Linked DNA regions of Arabidopsis thaliana. The protein of the gene in region 2 interacts with the protein of the main gene of each other region in a pairwise test. Each region holds a gene or a part of one and is shown on either strand. Other genes may lie near its edges.

Evidence for each region.
Region 1: the proteins of AT5G54970 (region 2) and ESC interact in a two-hybrid assay, tested with the Arabidopsis thaliana proteins (one large-scale study listed by BioGRID).

The regions. Positions count from the first base shown.
Region 1 is NC_003070.9:7,270,766-7,274,710, reverse strand, and holds ESC (Putative AT-hook DNA-binding family protein), read right to left. Parts: upstream 2,156-3,945; 5' UTR 1,688-2,155; coding exon 752-1,687; 3' UTR 639-751; downstream 1-638.
Region 2 is NC_003076.8:22,311,326-22,314,845, reverse strand, and holds AT5G54970 (uncharacterized protein), read right to left. Parts: upstream 1,871-3,520; 5' UTR 1,576-1,870; coding exon 1,198-1,575; 3' UTR 727-1,197; downstream 1-726. Other genes in the region: PDC2 (pyruvate decarboxylase-2), read left to right, coding at 2,165-3,520.

The DNA.
Region 1 (3,945 bases), on a different chromosome or scaffold from region 2:
CAGGCAAGTGGTTAACTACAAAATTTAGAACGATGCACGTTTTGATCAATATGTAAGCATATTCTTAACACCTTATATATAGATGGGTATATATGACAGTACTCTTAACACAATAACACCGTATAGATAGATAGATATGACACAGAAGTTGTGATCTTAAAAGGTATACTCGGCTAAAAGACGCTACAAGTACTCAAATGGTACGAATAATGAATTTAGATGCACAAAACGTATATATTGATCAATATGTATAATAATTTTCTAACCTTATAATGAATACTACATTGAGGTTGTTAAAAAGTTGAAAGAACTATATTATACTATGATTAAGGTAACGTATTGACGTATTGTAAAAATATTCAAATGAGCGCCTGAGATGTGCCCACATAATATTTCATCAAGAATACGCCGTGAAGCTCAAAATTCTTAAAAGAACAAACGAACTCATTATTGAATAGTCTAGACCTATATATCTATCAAATCGAGCTAATTATAATAATAGTTATAGGGTACAACACGAAACCCTAGCTATGAATAAAAGAAAGCCATATATGGAAAGGAATTTTCTAACATAACGAGACACATGCATTTCTCTAACATGTAACATCTACCGAAGATATGAGAAGAAAAGAAATAAACACGAGAAACCAAAATATGCATATCAACTAAACATTAAACACCAAATATCCCAAAGGAAAGACGACTCCACAAGATGATAAAAACACATAAATTTCCGGACATTAAAATTCAATTAAAAAGGTGGTCTTGAAGGTGTTCCAGCTCCCCATCCAAGCAAATGAGGATCACCAGAAAACCCATAACCACCCACATTACCTCCTAACTGTCCCTGACCGGTCACTCCAGACGGCGGAGATGCTGATGGAGCTTGTTGCATCTGCGGTGGCCCTCCTCCTCCTCCTCCTCCGCCACCACCACCTTCTTCTTCCTCCTCCTCAATCGGTAGTCTCTCGAAAACCGCATTTGAGAACGAAGCCGCCATTAGTATAACCGGAGCTGATGCAATAAGGGGAGCCACAACGCTTCCTCCGACCACCTGACCTTGCCCTCCGGCTAAAAATATAGACAAACCACCGGCACCAGGCGGTGCAGGAGGTGGCAAAACAGTCCCCGTTAGCGAAAGAATCTCAAACCTTCCATGTAAAGTCACAACTCCTCCTCCTCCGGACACACCACCGCCATTTCCAGGAGTGACTGGCTGACGGAGAGTGACGTTAGATACGGTGCCGTTTCCTCCTAAAACGGAGACGCCTCTCCCTCTCCTCCTAGCGTACGTGGAAACACTCTCAACTATGTCAGCTCCAGGAGATACTTCAAGAACGTGAGATCTAAGCGCGTTGGGGCTATCACGAGTTACTATGATCGGTGGCTTGGCTTTGTTCTTAGATCCTGGTGGACGTCCACGTGGACGTTTTCCCGGTGCTGAGCTTGATGTATTCGGGTCTGAATCGGGTCGACCCTGTTGATGATGATCTTTGTTTGAATGGTCAGATTCTCTTGAATCATCCGACGGTTGTTGTTGTTGTTGATGTTGCTGGTGCTGATGATGATGCTGGTCGATAAGATTGATCCCGCCCTGCGGTTGAAGCTGTTGGTGGTGAATCTCCGGTCTAAAGAGGTTATGGAAGTATCTAGAAGCTCCACCGCCTTGCTCGTAACCGCCTTCCATCGCCGCCGCATCTACTAATTCCCTATCCCACCACTGCTTATTCGCCAGCTCAAATCAATTTCTCGATTCTTGATCCTGCTCGTTCATATATTGGTAGCTAGGTGAAGAAGAGCGTAAAGAGAGAAAAAGAAAACTCAGATCGAGAAGTCAAAACTCATGATTTTGAGGAAACAATAGCTAAAGCATTAAGGTGTGATCGGTTACGCAAGCCGACAAAATATAGAAACAGACCAAGAACAGAACTAAATTAAAGACGAAGCAAAAGATATAAAAAAGGTGACTTATGTTAAATGATCTCTCTCATGAAAGGTAAGAGGAAACCCTAGTTAGGTAGATTAATTAGGGCAAGAGAAAGAAGTAGCTTCTTCTTTGCATAGGAGTCGTATTTAGCGATTCTGATGTGCTATGGGAAAAAAAGGAGAGAGAAGCTTGAGATTCATGTGCGACTCTGCAATAAATTTTTGGTCCTCTCATTGAACGAGGAAAGTAAAAGCAAAGACATACACCGAGAATTTAGCGGAGAAACAGTCCCCTTTATTATATCATTAATATAATAATTATTATTTGAATAATATGTTCTTTTTTAAGTAAATTAATACTATTTATTACATATACACAAATGCCGACAAAAAAATTTATGTGTGTAAGTGGTTATCCTTACATAAGATCTACCAAAGAAAACTAGGGGTTCGTCGCAGTTTTTGTTTGGCTCCAATCGGATAATACAAAAGAAATTTAGAGAAGGAATTCTTATATTTGAAAGCATGAGATAAGATTAACAGAAGAGATAACATTTGGTCAATTTGTTTATCAGATACTATTATATACGAGCTAAAGAAAACGTATCATTTAACAAAAAAAAAAAAAAAAAAAAAATGTCAAGTGGAAGTTGGGTACACAAGGATTAAAACGAATCCTACATTCCCTTTAAGGCGCGTGGAGGTTATGTTTAAACAAAAGTTATTTGATAAATGTTATTATCATGTTACTAACTTATTTATGGTTTTAGTAACTTAATTAAAAGGTTTTCGTATAAGTAAAAATGAGAAATAGTACTATTTAGTCTTCTCTTACTTGAGAAAATACTACTATAGGTCATTTTATTTAGAATTTTAATTTACTTACGCATCTTTTTATTGTAAAACTTAGTATAAACTTGCATTATTACTAGATATTTGTAGGCTTGTGATTTGCATAGTGCTGCTGATATATGTTATTATTCATATTCAAACTGGATGCAGAACGTGAGTTATATAGAAGAAGAAAAGAAAAAAAATTTACATGTATAGTATTATTATTAGTTTTGTCAACTAATTTTGTAAAAATATAATGTATAATAATTTAAAATAGATATATAGTATATGGCTTGCGAATACAATATTCTAAGAAGAACCCACGTTCTATAATAAACAAACGGATACGAACCATCTTTACTATAGAAAAAGAAGAAGAGAATTAGTCACTTTTAAGCGCTGCAGAACAACAATTGATTAATTCTGCTTGTGATGTGTTTTTTTTTTTTTTTGGTTGCTACTAAATTATCTTGCTAAACCCGAGCTAATTATATATCAAAGAATCAATGTTCTACTAAAGTACTTTATATTCACTTTTATTGTCAAGAGGGCATAAGGCGCATAACGTAGAACAATCAATCTAGGTAATGGTCCTTTGTTCTATACTGAGATAGTGAGATCTACCCATGTATACTCCTTTAAATATCGTAAAACGGAGTGGACCCTTTTTGATGATAAGTTTGGAGAAAGTTAATGATCCATTAATGTGATAAGACTAGCTGATAATTATCAAAATGTCAAATTAGTTGATACTACTACTTTATATTTTCAAAAATTATTGATAAGTACTCCACTTTGTTGCCTTATGTCGAATTTGGTGAATCACTAATTAGAACTACGCTTTTTCTAACATGGACAAAAAAATATACCAGAAAAAGACAACTAGACACTGATAATTTATTGATTTAGAATGAGTAATGTATTAGTAAAATTTTTTTTTGATATATCATCTTCATACAAATGATATCAAACTTTTAATTTACAAAAATTGTTTGGGAAACAAACGATAATCCTGAAAACACTTACCAATTGCATCAACCCATTCAAATAATTATTGACTTATTCATCTTAATTTATTGAACTGACTAAACTCGATCCGACCCATTAATGCATGACCTCATATCGGACCGTGACTGGTTGTCTTAATTTTTAACTGCACCCATATAGTAACACCTAAGCTCCCTC
Region 2 (3,520 bases):
CAAAACATGAACGAAAACAATATCAAATAGGCTACGAGTTGTGTTTTCACATCATGTTTCATTATTTTAAAAGAAACAATTTGTGATTTGGTTGGTTTATTCGAATCTAGTAGTTTGGACGACTCACGTTTATGTAATCTCGTGATACGAGAACAATTCCACTCCTTTCAAAAAAGTGGTTCTCTCTCTCTTTTACCTCTATTTTGAGGTTGATTTATCAATGCACATGTGGAATAGTTGTAGTACTTGATGCATTAAATTTATACATAATGGGGAGATATTGAAAAAGTAGTAAAGATGAAGGATTTGACAATGAAGAGAGTTAAATAAAACTTTGAAGGGTAGAAAGTGAAAGTTATGAATGGTCTCTTACATATAACATACATATGTACTTGGGGATATCAACATCAATTAATAACCGATTGCATAATCAGAGGGTAAAGAGGTTCAGTTGGATCAGGATTCAAGTTCAACCATATGGGCAGCGACGTTTGCTAAAGGCAACATATAGATAACCATCATTACCCATTAGAACAAATGAAAGAAAGCATATAGATAAAACTTATTAACATCGAATGATGAGACTAAATAAACCAAGACCAATGTTCCATATGCGGTAATACCACCAAGCAAATGAAATCTGTTAACACCCATCGACAAACATAGGTAACCATTTGGTCTGAGACAATAGCGTCTGATAATAGCAGAAGGCAAACATTTTTACCCATCACAACAAACAGAGAGATAATCAAAACCTATAGATTTGAGATGTTTAGATTAAGCAAAGCAGAGAATTGACTGAGGTAACATAGCCTATGTCAATTACAATCTAACAAGATGATAACAAATTTGAGAAAAATATATGTAGTCTTATATCATTACTCTTCGAATCTTTAAGTGTTTGGCTAATCTTTCAAAACAGTTACAACACTTAAGAGTTACATATACATCATTAAGAATCCCAAAATGATACTCATGTAAGTGTTCATTAATATGTAGTGAAGGAATCTATAGTCAAATCCAAATCGTAAGATATCAAATCAACACAAACATTAAATTAACAAAGATAAACTCATCAATTGAAAACACACAATTTATTGATAATTTAATGATTCATATAGTGAGTCTTATGATAGTATTAAACATTTTACCCGAATTGTATCATCAGATTACAGATTTGGTAGAAACTAGTTTAACTCAATGAGCAATAACATCACTACTGGGTTCAACAAGAACTGAGTTTATAGGAGGATTGATATTCATCATCATCATCGACGAGACAGATCTAGCAGCGGCTAATTTCTTCCTCTGATAACTGTAAGGACCATAGATCTTTCTTAGAAGATGTGGTACCTGATCTATCGTCAGATTCCGCGAAGCCGCTGCTGCTTCATCAACCGAGTTCTCAGATGGTGAAATCGGATCTACTAGCTGCGAGAGGGAGGAGCGAGATACGAGAGATGTAGTAGATCTAGCGTTGATTCTCGAGTTTCGGATCTGAGCAAGCGCTCCTGGTTTTAAGTAGCGGTGGAATCCGTCGCTTCTTCTCGCCGGAGATTTAGAGATATCCTTCATGGTAACGATTTGGTTAAGCTTGGTGAAAGAGATTGAAGAATCTGATGATCGAGAGAGCGAGAAAGAGATTGTGGGAGATATGTGATTGGAGATTGGGGATCTACGGATTTTTGTAATTGAGTGAGAGCGGCGGGAAAATCGGCGTTAGGGGGGAAATACGAGTCTCTTTAGGGTTTCGAAAAGTCGCCAAGAGCGGGAGTTTCTTTTTGAGTCACGTGGTATTGACACGAACCGGGTCGGATCCTATATCCAATCGGGTCCTATGATGCCCTTGTGGGCTGCGCATGAGAGCAATTATTCTCTGCGGACTCACAACTATTCTCAACGTGAACTTTCTAACTTGTTCTCCAATATCCAACTATATAAGGACACGTGTCAATCTCAGAGACACATAAATATCTGCGGCTAAAAATATCTTATTAGCCGCCTATTTCATACCACCGTTTGATTACTTTAGCCACCGTTGTTTTACGTCTATAATTAAGTATCTTCCACTAATCTCATATTTCAAACTGTACTTTTACCTCGAGCTCTCTCCAATTTTCTCATAGCTCTATTGTTCGAAAATTCTGAAACGAACGTTACCACTATGGACACTAAGATCGGATCTATCGACGCGTGTAACCCGACCAACCACGATATCGGCGGTCCTCCAAACGGCGGAGTCTCCACCGTTCAAAACACAAGTCCACTTCACTCCACCACCGTCAGCCCCTGCGACGCGACTCTTGGCCGTTACCTAGCAAGACGGTTAGTCGAAATCGGCGTCACCGATGTCTTCTCCGTTCCTGGTGATTTCAACCTGACGCTTCTCGATCACCTAATCGCCGAACCAAACCTCAAGCTGATCGGTTGCTGCAACGAGCTTAACGCCGGATACGCTGCTGACGGTTACGCTAGATCTCGCGGTGTTGGTGCGTGCGTCGTTACGTTCACCGTCGGTGGATTGAGTGTTCTGAATGCGATCGCCGGTGCTTACAGTGAGAATCTGCCTCTGATTTGCATCGTCGGTGGTCCAAACTCCAACGATTACGGTACCAATAGGATTCTTCATCATACAATTGGTTTACCTGATTTCACTCAAGAGCTTAGGTGTTTTCAAGCTGTTACTTGTTTTCAAGCTGTGATTAATAACTTAGAAGAGGCTCATGAACTTATCGATACTGCGATTTCAACTGCTTTGAAAGAAAGCAAACCTGTTTATATCAGTATCAGCTGTAATTTACCGGCGATTCCTCTTCCGACGTTTAGTCGTCATCCTGTTCCGTTCATGCTTCCGATGAAGGTTAGCAATCAGATTGGTTTAGATGCGGCGGTGGAGGCAGCTGCTGAGTTCTTGAACAAAGCTGTGAAGCCAGTTCTTGTTGGTGGGCCGAAAATGCGGGTTGCGAAAGCCGCGGATGCTTTTGTTGAGCTTGCTGATGCTTCTGGCTATGGTCTTGCTGTGATGCCTTCTGCTAAAGGACAAGTACCTGAGCATCACAAGCATTTTATAGGGACGTATTGGGGAGCTGTGAGTACAGCTTTTTGTGCTGAAATCGTTGAATCTGCGGATGCTTATCTGTTTGCAGGTCCGATTTTCAACGATTACAGTTCTGTTGGGTATTCTCTGCTTCTCAAGAAGGAGAAGGCAATCATCGTTCAGCCTGATCGGGTTACTATCGGTAACGGACCTGCGTTTGGATGTGTTCTTATGAAGGATTTTCTAAGCGAGTTGGCTAAACGAATTAAGCACAACAACACTTCTTATGAGAATTATCACAGGATCTATGTCCCAGAAGGAAAGCCTTTGAGAGATAACCCGAATGAGTCTTTGAGGGTTAATGTACTGTTCCAACACATTCAGAATATGCTCTCTTCTGAGTCTGCTGTGCTTGCTGAGACAGGAGATTCCTGGTTCAACTGTCAGAAGCTGAAGCTCCCTGAAGGATGCGGTTACGAATTC